Linked DNA regions of Stegostoma tigrinum. The protein of the gene in region 2 purifies or fractionates together with the protein of the main gene of each other region. This does not show direct contact. Links are inferred from orthologs where the notes say so. Each region holds a gene or a part of one and is shown on either strand. Other genes may lie near its edges.

Evidence for each region.
Region 1: the proteins of casp3b (region 2) and cryabb purify together in Homo sapiens (affinity purification with western blotting; 3 studies listed by BioGRID). This does not show direct contact. The link is inferred for Stegostoma tigrinum from reciprocal best matches to the Homo sapiens genes CASP3 and CRYAB.

The regions. Positions count from the first base shown.
Region 1 is NC_081385.1:12,616,583-12,625,357, forward strand, and holds the start of cryabb (crystallin, alpha B, b), read right to left. Parts: upstream 3,527-8,775; 5' UTR 3,312-3,526; coding exon 3,129-3,311; intron 1-3,128. Other genes in the region: hspb2 (heat shock protein beta-2), read left to right, coding at 5,088-5,403, 6,253-6,692. UniProt on the Homo sapiens protein: May contribute to the transparency and refractive index of the lens. Has chaperone-like activity, preventing aggregation of various proteins under a wide range of stress conditions.
Region 2 is NC_081356.1:113,752,726-113,762,544, reverse strand, and holds the start of casp3b (caspase-3b), read right to left. Parts: upstream 3,601-9,819; 5' UTR 3,397-3,600; intron 3,237-3,396; 5' UTR 3,150-3,236; intron 1-3,149. Other genes in the region: primpol (DNA-directed primase/polymerase protein), read left to right, coding at 8,011-8,190. UniProt on the Homo sapiens protein: Thiol protease that acts as a major effector caspase involved in the execution phase of apoptosis. Following cleavage and activation by initiator caspases (CASP8, CASP9 and/or CASP10), mediates execution of apoptosis by catalyzing cleavage of many proteins.

The DNA.
Region 1 (8,775 bases), on a different chromosome or scaffold from region 2:
GTGACTACCTACTGCTTGTGTATAAATCTAACTTGCCACTTGTTGATTCAAGCAGATGGTAATGAAAAGAATCTTTCTAGCAATAAGCACTAAAGCAATGAGTTCTAATGGTCCAACTTTTCTCATTCTGAGCTTTAAATGACATAGATTCACAACAATATTGTCAGAGGTGTCAAATGTATCTGATCCCTGGTAGATCATGAAAAGGAGATGATCACTCTTTTCAGAGAGTAACTAAGTCATCATAGAGAAAGAAGAAGCAAAAATCAGAGAATAAGATTCTTCTACACAAGTCCTAGCAGCTTGCCGGGTAATGGTACAGAGAAATTCAAATTTATTTTGCAATTTCATAACATTATTTAATTTAGATATCAGGATAATTGAGGGCACAATATTATGATTTCCATTAGCCGTAAATTGTTCCATGGTAATTTGTTGGCCAGCTTTCAGTGGGTCCTACCGGAACATTCTTTTCATAAACAACATTCTGGCATGTAAACTCAACCCACAGAGCAAAGAATAAATAAAGTCATATGAACGGACAGATTGAACTGCACAAAGGCAGACATTGTTGAGAAATGTTAACTCATTCTAACGTGAAGCATTTTTACTAGAATTATAGAGAATGTACTCAGATAATATAAGGCCTAAGGTTTCAAACTTTAAAACTTCAAACTTTAAAACTTTCTTAAATTTAATTTCTAACTTAAAGGACAGGGATACGGTCAATCTCCTATTTACCAGTTTGTTGGCATCTCATGATCTCCAGTAATGCTTGATTGCCCCTACTCCAACTGTGCAACTTAACACAAATTTAGAATTTTGATACTTCTCGAAGACAAGCAATCTTATGGTCTATTTGAGTGAGACTGCAATTGTTTCCAAATATTCATTGTTGCATTTGGAAATAAACCAGAAAACCAAAAAAACTCAAACCTACATCCTACATGTAATATTTAATCTTAAAGCAACTGGCTACTGGCATTGACAATATCGTTTGTAGAAGAGTCCGGTATAAGAACAAAGAACAAAGAAAATTACAGCACAGGAACAGGCCCTTCGGCCCTCCAAGCCTGCGCCGATCAAGATCCTCTGTCTAACCTGTCATCTATTTTCTAAGGGTCTGTGTCCCTTTGCTCCCTGCCCATCCATGTACCTGTCCAAATATATCTTAAAAGACACAATCATGTCTGCGTCTACCACCTCCGCTAGCAACACGTTCCAGGCACCCACTACCCTCTGTGTAAAGAACTTTCCGCGCATATCTCCCTTAAACTTTCCTCCTCTCACTTTGAACTCATGACCCCTAGTAATTGAGTCCCCCACTCTGGGAAAAAGCTTCTTGCTACCACCCTGTCTATACCCCTCATGATTTTGTAGACCTCAGTCAGGTCCCCCCTCAATCTCTGTCTTTCTAATGTAAATAATCCTAAATTACTCAACCTCTCTTCATAGCTAGCACCCTCCATACCAGGCAACATCCTGGTGAACCTCCTCTGCACCCTCTCCAAAGCATCCACATCCTTTTGGTAATGTATGAGTAAGGTTATCATAAATAAAGAGATAAGAAGGTATAGGGAATAGGTGGAAATGTGGAGCAATGAGATCACCCGGGATCTTATTAGCTGGCAGAGCAGCATGAGGAACCAAGTGGCTGACTCATGCTGCTAATCCACATATTTGTATCAGTAAGCATCTCACTTTGTTCCAAAGCTCAATCACAGGTATGTGCCCAATCAGCATCACAGGACATTGACTGCTTTAACAATTACCAACTTGTTAATTTAAGTTATTTAAATTTGAGCTAATTTTTACTATTAATATTTGTATCCTCTTTTTGGAGGATGGAGAAAGTGGGGTACTTTGTAGTTACTTTGGGTTTTGCTGACCAAATACAAGACTGGATAAGGCAACATAGTGATTCATATTTTATTAGCTAAAGCAGAGTTCAAACCTTGATCAATAAATATTTATATTTTAATTAGCTTATTCAAACATGTTAGGATACACCTCTATGACAAGTAGGACTTAAACCCAGACTTTCTGACCCAATGGGAGGAGACTATCAAACTGCCACAAGATACTAAATTATTTTCAATGAAGCTGTACTGATGTATGATGATATACCCTCAGAATGGATAGGACGTGAGCCCTGGTGTAGGGATATTACCTTTGTGCACAAGAACCCCTCACCTTAGTCCTATATGTTACTTTGGAAGACTTATCATGTACCAGTGAATCATATTTATTTGTAGCATTTCCTTTGGTTCTTTTCAGGTTACCAGCAATCAGAGATTTTCTTACTCTTGCTTTCTGGGGAATTAATGTGTTCAGATACAGAAAATTAAGCCTAAGCCTTTGGTCCTCATAACGTGCCTTGAGGTTACAGGGAAAAATCAATATTCCATTAACTTTCCTTTATTTCAATTTGCAGATGGTAACAGAGCTTACTGTTCCAGCTTCGGATTTATTTGTCAAAAAAACTTATTATTTACCATTAATTGCACTAATTAAGTGTATTAATTAGTTATATATTTATGTGTATACAGATTCAATGTAAGAGCTTAAGAAATAGGTGCGGGACAAGTCCAGTCAACATTTCCAGCCTCCAGAGATCCTCAAGGTTATCTTCACTTTCCTAAAAGGCCCCATCCCCCCATTCACAAACACCCATCCTATCATGTCCTTTCATTCCATCAACTTGGTCTTGAATATAGTCTACAACTACTCATCCATAGCCTTCTCAGATGGAAATTTCCAAAGGTCCACAAACCTCTTAGCAAAGAAAGTTCTTCAGAGCTCAGTTTGAAATGGCTGTCCCCTTATTCTGATATTATGTCCCCCCTTTCCTCATTATCATATAGAGATACATATATGTTTATTTTCTTCCACTCTATCATATAGATAAACATGTTTATTTATCTTCCACTTCATCATACAGACCTATGTGTTTGTTACCTTCCTCTTTATTTTATATATATACACACATAGAACAATTAGGCACATTCGTTATTGTTATGAGGCAGGCAACACATCCACAAAGATTGATTCGAGTGGTGAAATTCAAATGTTAAACAAATATTTTAGGAAAATGCCACAACTTTAAGGATACTTTGCACCGAACATACCTCTGATAGTCCAGATTGTACCCAGCTTGGCATCCTGAACAATGATGATGGCATTCGCCAGTAGAAGGGGAAGAAGTCAGGATCGAGGTTTTCCCCAAAATGCTGGTCATAGATACGGGAGGGGAAGAGGAAATTTGGCATGAGGGAGCGCCGTAGCCATGGAGTCTGAACTGCAATGTCCATCTTCACTTTCCTCTAAAATTAGCAGGATGTGTATCAGTGTGGTTGTGCTGTCTTCAGTCCAGGGGCTGGTTGAAGGCCAGTTGGTGTCTCAGTCCTTTATATACACAATGACGCCGAACGTGTTGAACTTTCTGGAAAACTGATGAAAGGCTGATTGACTCTGTCATGTGATTTCATTGTTTAGGGATTTATGTTTTAGGGGGGAGGATTAGAACTGACACAAGCAGTGGACCAGTCTCTGCGTTGCTGGATAAAGCTCTGCTGATCACTCTTTTCCTCTGCTGGCACTGCTTCAGAATGCCACAGAAGATGACCTCATGGCATTTCAATAGGAGACCATTGTACTGAGAGGAATATTATGTTGTTTCGGGTTTTGTTTTAAAAAATGAATGATTAAAGATTTTATTTCCTTTTGTGTCTCTGTCTGATCGTTTATCTGAATGTTGAATTTAAACATTGAAGATGGCAAACAGAAGGATTGCAATTCAGAAATAGACTCCCAGTGATAAGCCTCTGATGTCAACTTTCTGGGTATGTGTAGTTTCTGGCAGTGACTGAATGCTTAACAGAGAATTATCTGGACAGAACTATTTCATTCTCTCGCCGTGTTTTATGTCTTCCAGAGTCTTTAAAAAGTAAGGAAGACTGTAAGTGAAATAATTATCTCATAGAATAATTGTCTCATTTCTCCATACTGAAAAAAAAACAAATTAACCAGAGCAAAATAGCTATTTCAGAAGATGCTGGATTCCTTATACGTCCTTCCAAAATTGCAATGTAAAGTTACTCCAGTACTTACTCTTATAATTGCCCTTAGTAAGGACCGAAGTCGCTAACAGCTGTAATATTAAAATGTGCACTACACTAAAATTAGTACAAATGACTATGTACTTGCAGATAGAATTATCCATCACAAAATAACTTTTAATGGCCAACTTTTAAAAATGTTTCGTTATATTTATTTTCATTGGGACATTCGAAGCATGGTTTTAAAGTTATTTTCTAAAAAGTTTTCTACAGAATTGACACTGCGCACATAGCTGGTCAGTGCAACGACGAGTCTGCCTCAACTTGGAAACCAGTGATAGATCGTTGTGATTTCACGTGGCTTGGAATGAAAGTAACACTTGGATGGTGCTTCTCTCTATGCAGCTGCCTCATGGTCATCCAGGAGAACTCCTTCTCTCGCTTTGTCCTTCCCACGGAAACAGACCCGAGTAACCTACAGAAGGAATTTTATTTGTGAATCCTTACTGACCAAAAGTAGTTCAGCCATTTTTTTTAAAAAATTCTTTATAGATGAAGTGTTGTCGTATGTAATTTTGACCATTCGTCTCCGCATGTTTATAAACTTTTAATTTTACAGGAACTGAGAATGCTGGAGAAACTCGGCAGTTCCGCCAGAATCTGTTGGAAGGGTGACTGGACTTGGAATGTTATTTCGCTGTCCGTAGCTGTTGCCAGACCTGCCGAGTTTCTCTAGCTTTCTCTGTTTTCGTTTCAGATTTCCAACATAGTTCTTTGTTTTATTTCATTTTACAGGTCGTCCTGAGTGGATTCTGAATTCCCTAACCAGAAGACAATGTGAGCAACCCACAACCAGGGCACAAAACAGTATCTTGGAGAGAAAGCAGTGTTAACAGTTCCAGTACAGTCACCTCTCGGGATGATGCCAGACCTTGGAGAGTTTCTCCAGCAATTGCTTGTTGTGTTTCAGATTTCCAACAGTTCTTTGATTTATAAAAACAAGGTCCAGGGTGTAATAGTAGTGAGCATATGTGCTTCCCAGAGGAGATCTCCAGTGGTTTAGGAACGTTCCCATTCTTTCTCAGTGTCCTAGTCTATTTCCGTCCTAGTTTAACAGCCCCCTCCCTCAGGAATGTCCAGACAGAAACCACGCTCAGCTTCCTGAGACGGAGTGACCTCAGTCTGCTGCTGGGTCAGGCTGAACAGACCAGTGTGTTTGGTGCTGGGCTTATGTGCTCGCTGACCCCTACAATGGAGGACAAGACCATCCCACATGCTTACCCGATGAGTGTAGAGTACGAGAAGGAAACACCGACAGTTATCCACGACCAGAACTTCGGGGAAGGTTAGTTTATTTCGGCTTTTGACAGTGAAGTTGTGCGTGACCATTGCATCCCTGTCAAGCACAGCTCTGTGTGTTTCAATAGTTTCGAATCCGGGCTGAGTGAATTTCCCAAAAATCCACTGCTTGTAGTTGGGGCTACAGTAAACAGCCCTGTGTGTTTTGGAAGGACATGTGAATTCTTAAGTGAATTCGTACTAGTTATAACTTCAAATAGTGCTGCAGAGACTCAGCAGGTTTAGCAGCATCCGTACTGAGTCCAGTCTGACTTTTCGCGGTATTTACAGGTGATGTTGAACCCTGCTTAACGCGCCCTCTCTGAAAGTGCAGTGCAGTAGACCATGCATCCAGGAGCTGCTAACCACATCTTCCAGCGTACACTTCTCGCCTTCACCCTACAGCCTTCCGATCTCTGCTTTAAAGCCAGCACTGTATTCCCTGGACCCCACTATCCTTCAAAAATGATCAGAGCTGTACAGTCTGGAGGTGGCACCGAATGGCCTGACCGACCATCTTCTAACGTGTGTGTTTGGTGAGGGAGGGATATGTGCGTTTGAAGATCCGCAGAATACAATTCTGGGCCGTCTGTACATAACTGTGTAACTCCCAGGGCCCAGGGACAACATTACACCCACTAATATCCAGGATGTGCAGAGCGTTAAAACAGCACCAGTAAGCTAACAACATTTAAATTCAAATTTTTTCCTCACTGAATAGCATATCATACTTTTGAATATAAAGTAAAGCATTTTTTAAAAATCACGTTAACTTAAATATAATGTAGTTGGATGGTCTGTACTAAAGCTACACCTCTATGTCTTACAGTTTGATAACCTCCAATACATTTTTCAGGTTTGTCACCAGAAGATATTTTAGCTCCTACATTATACCATGGTTACTATATCAGACCCAGGATCAATAAGCAGCTGGACAGAGGCTTTTCAAGAATTGAAACAAAGCATCATAAATTTCGGGTATTTCTGGACGTCTGTCATTTCCTGCCGGATGAGATCACAGTCCGGACAGTGGACAACCTTCTGGAAGTGTCTGGAAGACATCCGCAGAAACTGGACAGTCATGGGTTTATCTCCCGGGAGTTCACCCGTACCTACATCCTACCCCTGGACGTGGACCCTCTGCTTGTTCGGTCATCACTGTCCCATGATGGTATCCTGTGCATTGAGGCGCAGAGAAAAGGAGATGAGATGCAACCCAAAGTAAACCACGTGAAAATCAATGTGGAGTCGGCACCCATGGTAAAGGACCCTGGGGAAGATACCAGAAGAGAGTAACAGAAGGATAAGTAGCTCCTGCAGTAGGAATGGGAAGACCTTCTGTGATTGATTTTGATAGCGGGCCCTCTGCTGAAACACCAGAGTCTACTCTGGAAAACAGGGAGAAATATTACAATGATTGGGTTACAAGTAAGTTATCAGTTATTTAAAGTTGCAAATAAACCTAGAAAAAGACTAATTTTGACGTATTTTAATATCTTCTGTATTTATAAAGCTACTTATTAATATTAGACGCAAATGAAACCTGATGGTTAGTATCACGATTAATTCATGCCTTTACTGTCTTTTGCTCCTGTTCTCTGGAAGAAAATGACACATATTGGAGAACATTTACAAATGTGCCCCTAGCATCTTCCCAGCTTCTTCACACTTTCATGGCTCAGCCTGACTTGCCAGCTAAGGATGCATCTCTCCAGTTTAACTTTCAGGACTGTTGAGTCTGTCTCCTTTTTACGTTTGTTAGCTAAAAGAAGTACCTATGAGGTATTGAGGCTGGGACCTACCTGGTCTCTGCACCTGGCACTGCACTACTTTCCTCTGAGCTATTGGCTAATCCCTTCTGCCATTTCTGATGTACAGCTTGACAAACCAAATCTATTAATAAACATTTTGACAACTAATGTATCCAAAATGTGTTTATTTCATGCCTGTAATGACAACCATTATTGCTTTTTGGCTGCAATTTTAAAAAGGCACTGAAATAATTGTTTGGGGAATGCTCTCAGCTGTTGCTTTTGCGTAACTTATCAACGAAAAAAATTGCATGGGACAGGTCAAACATTTTTCAAAACGATGATATTAACTTTTCGTTGGCCATAATGCAAGACTTTGAGTTCAGAGTTAAATCACTTAAGGGCTATTTTTAACCTGCAACATTGGCGGCAAAACAAGTAGTCTGCATTGTACTGTTGGTATTTAGCCCACGTGATTTTCCAGTGGGGTCTTCAATCGTCTTTCAGTCATTAGTGATAATAAAGTGTGAAGCTGGATGAGCACAGCAGGCCAAGCAGCATCTCAGGAGCACAAAGTATCAGTTTTCCACCACCGCTAGAAATTAAAATTAGCTCTGCAATGTATTATCCCTAAAAATATAATTCCGTGTTTAAAAGCTAAAATGACCAATGACAGAAATCCAAAATACAAGTAGAAAATACACAATAAGTTCAGCAGCAGCTCATAAATTAGAGATTGATATTTCCAGTGGTGATCCTTCAGTGGATTTGACCAAGGTTTTCTGCTAAAATGGGACTCTGTATTTTGCTACTCAAATTGCACACCGGGGAATTCTCCTGAAAGGGGGTGCCGCTGACTATCAAATGATGTTTCAATTTCTAGTGCCTCCTTTTCTCCTGGCTGAAGTCCGGAAATTGTGTGGTTGCCATTATAGAATAACTTAACCAGCCTTTTGCAAGTGGAGGATCATGCTTGAAGTGTTAGTGCTGATTGAATTGGTGCTACCAGTCCTACATTATTTCGAATCCTTTATAAATGCACTATGACTGAAAACTTATGCGACTATTCTCCAAGGAGCGTGCTACTACATCAATGTCCCACCCACTCCTTCCCGTGACCACTTTCCGCCCCAAGTGTAACACTGCCTGTGGTAACTGCTTTGGTTTATACAGCCACCTATGGACTCATTGAGGCTGGAAGAGAGTCATTCTCATCTGTGAGAGACTAACAACGAATGAATTATTTTCCACTCCTTTCTTACGTGTAAGTATATTGTAACGCAGTAAAATAAGTGACAGCTTTGACTCCAAAGCAGCCTTATCCTGTTTCCGATGGCACCTTCATCGGGATTTTTGTAGCACGTAGAACACTTCGCAAAAGAAACATTAGCGTTTTCTGCAACTCTCTTTCTAAACCTAACAATTTCTTCCAGTTTCTTCTGACTTGGAGGTGATTTTCTCTGTTCAGGCAACCTTGTATATTTTTCTGTGCTTCGAATCTGGACAGACATCAATAATATTTTGTAAGATGCCGATGTAGCAGACGTTGTGGAGAAATGCTTCAATTCCTCTTAAATGAGGTAAAAACAATGTGGGTTATGCGTTTTCACAGACATTATATCTGTTTT
Region 2 (9,819 bases):
TTTTTTAAGAAACCATTCCCTCAACATTCTCACATTCACTGATACAAACTGTAATCTGGGACTGACAACACCTCAATTGTTATCGTACTAAAACAATTTAACATATTCCCCAAATACATCAAGTTGAGTTTTTTTTAATTTATTCATTCATGGAATCCATATGTTGCTAGCTAAAATTGCATTTGCTGTCAATCCCTAACAATTCCTTCAGTTCAAGAAGGCAGCTCACCACCACTTTCTCAGGTGCAACTAGGGATGGGCAAGAAATGCAGACCGGCCAGCAATGCCCACATCCCACAAAATGAATAGAAAAAATGACACCAAGCAGGTGGCAATGCGATACCTTCTTGAACTGCTGCAGTTCACAGAGGGTACGAACAAGAGGAGAGTTGAGGAGCTGCGTTCCAATACAGTACTACCCCTTTCCTTCCAGGTCAGAGGCCGTCGTGGATTTAGAAGGTAATGCTGAAAATATGTTTCGTTCACATTATACAGCTGCATTTTCATCAATGACGATGAGGTAATCTCTCTTTGCACAGCCACATGGGAAATGACTTCATCAGCACTGGTGTAAATGAATGCATCTGAATCCATTGAGAGATGGACTGGTTCTGTGATTATTTCTAATTTAATGGAACACTTCCAAACTGTTTTCAGTCTTATCTCCTTTTCCACCATAAGCTCCACATAATTTATGTATCTGACCTCTCTGAAGTAACCTTCGATGACTTTATTCATTTTTACAAGGCAACCACCTACTTCTCTAATGAACATCTGTATCAACTAGCATTTTCACATTATTTTTGACTGCAGCATTAGCACAGACTATTTTAAATGTTGGACCACCATTTTGGGAACTCTGCACTTCGAGCTATATCCAACAAGACAATTAACTTTGTATTTACATAGCATGTGCAATGGAATCAAATATCTCAAAACACACATCTTCTGAGAGTGGTGGGCACCAGTTACCCAGATCTAAAGTGGGGATGTTTGTACAACATTTAGTGTCATCACACAAGAACAAGTATAAAAAGAACAAGGATATTGCAATACTACAATGATTGCCTCAACTCCTGACTTCCCATTGTTAGTCTACAAGACACAATGTCAGGAGGTGATGAAACATTCCCCACTTGCCTAGTTGATTGCAGCAATCACAACACTCAAAAGGCTTTACAAATTCCAGGACAAAACAGCCCTCTTGATCCCCCCTGCCATCAACACACATAGTAGTAATGTGTGCAATTTACAGGAAACACTTAAGTAACTCATCAAGTGTTCTTAAACAGCACCTTCCAAACCCACAACTTCTTCCACCACTAAGGGCAAAGGCAGCAGATACATGTGAACACCACTGCTTGGAAAGACCCCTCCAGGCCAAACACCATTCTGACATGAAATTGTAACACCATTCATTCATCATCACTGGGTAAACCCTTGTACACCCTTCATCCCAGCATTGTGGGAATATCAACCCACACAACCTGAAATAGTTCAGGACAGTGGCTCACCACCTTCTTAAAGATGAGGAATGAGCAATAAACATGAATCTGACCAGTGACTGCCAAATCCTGTGATAGAATTTTAAAAAATTGAATAACTGCAAAATATTGTGGATGATGTAAATCCTAAACAGAGAAAATTCTGGACAAACTCAACAAGTCTGGCAACATCTGTGGTGAGAGAAACAGGCAGGTTCCTCTTCAGTTCTGAAGAAATCATACCAGACTGGGAACATTAACTCTCTCTTTCCATAGATGCTGCCAGATTTGATGAGTTTCTCCAGTGTCTTATGTATTTGAATTTTTTAAAAAATTATTAGTCGCATTTACCTCAGTACAGTGAAGTTTTGTTTTGCAAGCAGTACACGGCAGATCATACTATACAAAGTGCTTAGGTTACTAGATCAGAGTGAAGAATATAATGAAATGGCTGCAAAGAAGGTGCACAAAGAGCCAAATCAACATAAATTTAAAATTTGAGCGGTACACTCAGAAGTCAAGTAACAGAGATGAAGCTGTTGTCGTTGGTATGTGTGTTTAAGCTTTTGTATCTTCTGCCTGACAGATAAGGTTGGAAGATATTGTAACTGGGATCGGAGGAGTCTTTGATTATGTTGGCTGCCTTACTGAGGCAGTGGGAAATATAGATGGAGTCGATGGTTGGAAAGTTGTCTTGCTTGATGAACTGGGCTGTGGTCACAACTCTGTAGTTTAAGATCCTAGGCACGGTAGTTGTCATACCAAACTGTGACACATCCAGAGAGAATGCTTTCTATGATGCATCTATGAAAATTGTTAAGAGTCTTTGCAGACATGTCAAATTTCCCTAGCCTCCTGAAGAAGCACTGGCGTTGTGCTTTCTTGACCATTACGTGATTAAAAATGAAAAATAACCTTACTGATAATAAGTTATCATGGCACTACACACAAGGGCCTTCAGTTTATCCACACTGCACTTGTTATGGTCCCTTTTAATTTACCCAGGTTGTTTGCACCCATGGCAGGGTCACTTTCTTCCAAGGTGAATAAGAAGACATTGAACCACTGCTATCAGTTTCGCTCACCCAAACAGTATTGCATCAACTTAAGACACACGCAAAACGATCAACTACGAATTTCTCAGCTCATGAATGATTGTTTTAATTCCGTGGGGATGGGGTAGGGGAAGAAAGAGATGGAAACAAGCATACAGCCCAATCAAAATAATTTGATAAGCAATCCTCGGAACTACAGCTTGTTTTTAAATCGTACGCTTTTGAAAACTCAGTACGCTGGACTGGCTTCATTTCCTTTGGTTGTGTAAACATTGCCGAGGCGAGTCTGTGGATGGTTTTAGTTTCATCCTGAAACAGGCGCTGGCGTGAACGGGCAGGTAGCAACATAATACATACCTGACAGGAGGTCGCCTTCTCAACATTAAAAAAAACACGTGAAAATCAGTTCTAAGCTTTCTGGATCCCCAAAGATAGTTTTAATTTTGAAAACCTCGGAGGAAAGACACAAATGAAGGTAAAACAACTACACGAACTCTACACTGCCACTCTGGCAACTTTCGTAATTTATATACTTTAGGCAAATACACCCTCATTTTAAAAAAAAAGCAGCGCAGTATTCTCTTTAACTCATTCATACTGCAAAACTCACCAGGTTAGAACAACAAAAGCAGTGATGAGACAGGAGGATGCTGCTGATCGAAGAGCAGGCAGAATGAGTGGGGGATATCTACTGCACCTGAGACACAAAGACAGAGGGGGGAAGAGAGAGTTTTAAAACAAAAACTTAGCACATGGTAAACACCATCCACTGACAGTGCAAGTCGAACTTATTGTTTATTGATAGAGCGAGCTGAAGACTGAATGGACAAGCAGCAATGTAAAAAAAAGACACCCACCTTTCACTCCTTCACATAACATCCAGCCCGGACCGGTTCCAACTCGGACTGAAACGCGAGCTGCCGCTAACGTCACATCACCAACCGCTCCCCGTTCCGAGCGCGCGCCTGTTGATCCCGGAGCGCGACTTCCAGCCGTGTCCCCGCCCCCAACCCCGGAGGCCGCAGGCGCAGTGCAGAGGTAGTTCGCCGCTGGTTCTGGTCTCGGCTGTTCCCGCCGGCGGGTCGTCGCTCTTCCTCCCTTCCCCCAAACACGGCTCCGCCTTGTCTTCCTTCTGCGAATTGCGCCATCCAGTGCCTTTCTCACTGGTCAATCCGTTTCGCGCTCAGTTTGTGATGATTTTTTTGACTGAAGGACCTAAGTGAGTATCTTAGACCCTGTCGACTGAAATGTATATATTTGTCGTTTGTCATTTTGCTCTACCGCTGAATTAGTGATTGTCCCAGTACTTTTCACTTTGTATTTTAATGCTTGAGTCTGCTTGACTCTGAAGATTCATTTGAAACCAGTCTCGTTGTTAGATTATTCATCCTGTTTTAGAATGTGTATTACCTATTCGCTTAGTGAAGGTTGGCATATATTGCCGATCCTAAATGCCCTTATTTGTTAACTAAATAACTGTGGCCTGTGGCTTAGCTCCGTTAAGGGTAAAATCTATAAATGATATGTAAAAAGGGTAAGTCGTCTTAAAGCAAGAATGCGTTGAGAAGATCCTGGCCTCAGAAAGGGGAATCCTAAATTGAAGAATCTACAAATGATTCTTGGGACTTCCACTGTTTGTAAATTGTATTTGTGAATTAATGTCTTGCCTGAAATTAATCTGTCTTTTCAAAACAGATTGTTTATCTCATAACGCATTTGGGAGTCTTGTGTGCAAATTGACTGATGTCCCAATAGTAGCGACAACACTTCAAAAGTAATTCATGAACTGAAATATCTGAGACTTCCTTGAGGTATGGAAGGCATTGTTTGGGCATGCCTTCTCTCTACACCATATAAGCTGTTGCCTCTCAGCGCCTGTCTATTCTCTGATCATCTGGCATTATATTTTTTTTCTCAAATGAAAACAAAGTGTTGCAGGAACAAAGCAGGCCTTAGCAATATTTGTGGTGTAAGAAAAAAATTCAGATGTCTAAGGTTCTTGAGTAGATTTGTCACTCTAGTTGTGAATGCTGCGGTTGGTTCAGGGGCAATCCACCTAACCTGCACATCTTTGGACTGGGGTGGGAAACCGGAGCATCCAGCAGCACTCGGACACAGGGAGCACATGCAAACTTGACACAGACAGTGACCCAAACCTGGGTGCCTGGCATTGTGAGGCAACAGTATTAACCACAGTGCCACCCAACTCGACTTCCTACATGGATGGGTGCAGTGTGAAATACAGAATGCCCATCAACAACCCACGGACAGTAGAACACAGTGGCCACAGGATGGTGAAGACAATGATCAACAACGCATACAACTGGCTCCATAGATATGACAGAGAAATTACACGCCGAAAAACCCTATTTCTAGACGCTACCAACCTAGACTGGACAACAGACTTAGAATGAGCCAATAATGTCAGTCAACAGATAACAAGAACCAAGAAAACACAGATCCTCTAAGAAAAACTAGCCAAACTAACTCACCAAAAGGACAACCGTAGGTCAGACACTTGGATAAAAAAAACTTTCAGACAGGAAACTAACAGACATAGAAAAAGCTGTTCTAATACGTGTACTCAACTATACCATAGACACGCTAACAAGACAGAATTTCTTGCCACACTAGAAGCCACACTCAAGACCAACAGCATCAATGAGGAAACGCAACAAGCTGTAAGACAGACAATAATCCTGACACTGACCAGCAGGAGCGAATATTACATTCTCAACACATCAGAATGGAAGGCCCTCGAAGGACTGATAAAAGACAAAAATGTCATAATACTAAACAAACGGGACTACCTCACTAATGCACAGACACTACTAGCAGACACAAGCATGTACTGGCAAGTGCAAATAGACCCAACAGCTGGGTAATAAAATAATCTACACACTAAAGAGACTCAAACAGACCAGACACATCAACAAAACAGACCACCCAAAAATGGAACCAGAAGCGACAAACACCCCATAATTCTGCAGCCTCACAAAGGTACACAAACTGGAAGTACCCCTCAGACCCATAGTCTCCCTCTCAGGCACACCAACACACAGGTTAGCCAAGAAGTTACAACGAAGTCTAAAGCACCTCGTCAGCAAGTCAACTCACTCAATCCACTCAGCCCAGGAGTTCGTCACTTCCCTCAAGGACGTAAGAATAGTTGATGATGAGACCATGGTGTCCTTTCACATTACTGCCCTATTCACATCGATTGACGTACCACTGACAAGGGAAACACTTGCAACACTGCTAAAAGAACAAGACCTGAGTGACACCATCTCCACAGACTATGTGCTGAAAATACTGGACTTAGGCCTCATGACCATCTTTACTGTTAATGGACAGATCAATGAACAGATCAGCGGGATACCCATGGGGTCACCTATCTCCAGACTAATAGCTTAAGCGGTGATGCAGAGACTCGAAAGCATGGCCCTTCCACAAATCCAACACAAAGTATGGATCCGATTTGTGGATGATACTTTCATCGTCTTCAAACAGACCAAACTAGAGGAGACACACCAACTAATAAACAACACACTCATTGGCATCAGATTCACCACAGAAGAGGAAAAGAACGAATAGCTCCTATTCCTGGACATTGTGGTAGAACGCAGGGCCAACGGGGAACTCCTGATGAAGTACACAGAAAAGCCACACACATTGATCAAGCACTGAATTTCGTCAGTAACCACCCCAACATCCACGAACAAAGCTGCGTGAAAACACTATTTAAACAAGCGGCAACATGCTGTAGCAACCCGGAGCTATGCCAAAAAGAAGAACAGTACCTCCTCCAAGTATTTAAGGACAATGGATACCCGAACAACTAGATCCGACGATGCCTATCATACAAACAACAACAGGAAGATACCACATGCACTAACGCATTCATCATGCTACCATACGTTGAGAAAATGTCTGAACTGACCACAAGACTCCTATGACCATTGGGCATTAGAGTAGCACACAAACTCAGTCAACCCTACGCCAACTGCTCATTGGAACCAAGGACCCCTTATCCACTTTGGACAGAACCAACATAATGTACAGAATTCCATGCAAGGACTACGACAAATGTTTCATCGGACAGACAAGAAGAAAGTTGGCCGCAAGTACGTGACCACCAACTAGCAACAAAAAGACTCACTCGTCTCCGTTCACACGGATAAGAAGAACTACCAGTTTGATTGGAACAAACCAGGATCCTAGGACAGGCCAAACAGAGACAAGCATGGGAATTCCTAGAGGCCTCGTTCTCCACCAAGAAGGCCGTCAACAAACCCATAGAACTAGACCCTATATATACACCACTGTGAAGGAAAACCAGAAATGAGGTAACCAAATCCAATGGACCCCAGAGTTTAAATACCAGGTGGGAAAACACAGTAGTGCTTTATTGGTGGCTGCACTGATGATGTTACCCAGCAGGGTAATAAAATGCCTGCAAATTAACGAACGAGCTTGGCGAGTGAACCAATCTCAAAATTTAGACGTCATACAACACCAGGTTATAGTCCCAACAGCTTTATTTGAAATCACAAGCTCTGTGGCACTGCTGTTTCATCAGATGAAGTGAATTTATCTACCCCAGTCCAACACTGGCACCTCCACATCAAAAGAAACAAATGACTTCTGTTTAAAATTTGTTGTTGAGATGTGAGCAACAGTGGCTCGGCCACCATTTATTGGGCCATCCCTAATTGGCCAGGGGACAGTTAAGAGTCAAATGCATAGCTGTAGGTCTGGAGTTGCATATAGGCCAGACCTGAAAAAGGATGGCAGGTTCCTATCCCTAGAGGCCATTTATGAACCAGATGGGATTTTAAAACAATTGATGGTGGTTACATGGTTGCTATATTATTACAGAATTTTATATTTTAAAATAGAATTTCACCATCTGCTTTGTGGGATTTAAACCAATGCCCCAGAACATTAGCCTGGGCTTCTGAATTACTAGACCATTCTTACTTTTACCATTATACCACCACTGCCACCACCAACACCTTCCCCCACCTACCCCCCCAATATTACATTTACTTGCTGCATGTGTTTTCAGTGGGGTGAGAACATGTCATAAGGTTGAGCAGCTAACCCATTGTTTCTCATCACTTATTCTAAATTCAGTTGATGCCAATATTACACTTTCTTTCTCCTTTTAGTTTTCTTGTGGAGAAAAATTAAGGAAACTAAAGAACAATCCACTCAAAGTATTCATTACAGGTAAACATTTTAAATATTGGGAATTAATATATTAGGAGGGGAAGAAAGGCAAATTTTATTACCAAACAGTTATGCACTTGTGGCAAGTATGTTTAAGCGGTCAGTAAATCTGTATATCCTTTTTTGACAAATAAAGCAAATAAGATATGAAACTAAGAAGAAATGTTAACTTTCCTGAACCTAATTTGTTTTGTGATCTTAAGAGAGCTTCAACTAATTGTTATACCATTCTTCAGAGTATGAAGAAGAACTGGCAGCAAAGGATTAAGGACATTGAAACTTTGGCAAGCAGTTATCAGAAAAACCCCATCAGGCAGACTTACAGACCAAAACTTTCAAAACCATGGCAACCATCATCAGTTTGGAAGTTGTTTCATCGCCAGCATCAAGCTTTTAATTTTGTCAAGAGTTGTAAGGCGGTAAAGTAAAATATATTGTTGTATTTTAGAAATGTGAATTGAGATTCATTGTACAATGATTATCATCTGGATTCCTAGGAAGGAAGTAAGCATTCTCTGAACAACTGGAGGAGTCATTGGCCTAGTGGTATTATTGCTAGACTATTAATCCAGAAACTCGGCTGATGGTCTGAGGGACCCGGGTTCAAATCCCACCATGGCGGATGGTGGAATTTGAATTTTAAAAAAATCCTGGAATTAAGAATCTGCTGATCACCATGAAATCATTGCCAATTGTCGGAAAAACACATCTGGCTCACTAATGTCCCTCAGGGGACTAAATCTGTCATCCTCACCTGGTCTGTCTTACATGTGACTCCAGACCCACAGCAATACAGTTGACTCTCAGCTGCCCTCTGAAATGGCCTAGCAAGCCACTCGGTGTGCCAATTGCTATGAAGTCTCAAAGAAATGAAACTGGACGGATCACCTGGCAGCGACCTAGGCACCAGAAAAGACAATAGCAGAAACAGCCTTTTAACCCTGCAAAGTTCTCGTCACTAACACCTGGGGGTTAGTGCCAAAATTGGGCTAGCTGCCTCACAGACTATTTAAGCAACAGCCTGACATTGTCTGTAAGGTATGATTCTGTGAGTATGACAATGTCCCAGTCACCACCATCACCATCTCTGGGTATGTCTTGTCCCACGACAGGACAGACCCAGCAAAGTTGGAGGCACAGTGATATACAGTTGGGATGGTGTTGCTGTAGGAGTCCTCAATGTTGAAGGCTTCATGGCTTAAGGTTAAACGTGGGCACGGAAACCTCCTGGAGATAACCATGTACTGTCCTCCCTCAGCTGATGAATTGGTAATCCTCCATGTTGAACAACACTTAGAGGAAGCGCTGAGGATGACAAGGGCACAAAATGTACTCTGGGTGGGGGATTTCAATGTCCAACACCAAGAGTGGCTCAGCAGCAGTACTACCGATCAAGCTGGTTGGGTCCTAACAGACCTAGCTGCTAGACTGGGTCTGCAGCAGGTGGTGAGGGAATCAACATGAGGGAAAAGCATACTTGACCTCATCCTTACTAATCTGCCAGCTGCAGTTGCATCTATTGCTGACAGTATCAGTAAGATTGATCATTGCACAGTCCTTGTGGAGATGAAGTCCTGCCTTCGCATTGAGAACAACTTCCAATTTGTTGTGTAGCACAATCACTGTGCTAAATGAGACAGACTTTGCACAGATCAAGCACTCAAGACTAGGCATCCATGAGGCGCTGTGGGCCTTAACAGCTGCAGAGGTGTACCCAGCACAATCTGTAACCTCATGGCCCAGCATATCCCCAACTCGACTATTACCGTTAAGCCAGTGGATCAACCCTGGTTCAATGGATAGTGCAGGAGGGCATGCCAGAAGCAGCACCAGGTATACCTGATCATGAGATATCAACCTCGTAAAGCCACCAAAGAGGACTACTTGCATGTCAAACAGCGAAAGCAGCAAGTGATAGACAGAGCCAAGGAATCCCACAGCCAATGGATCAGATCTAAGCTCTGCAGTCCTGCCACATCCAGTTGTGAATGTTGGTGGACAATGAAACAACCCACTGCAGGAGGAGGCTCCACAAATATCCCTGTCCT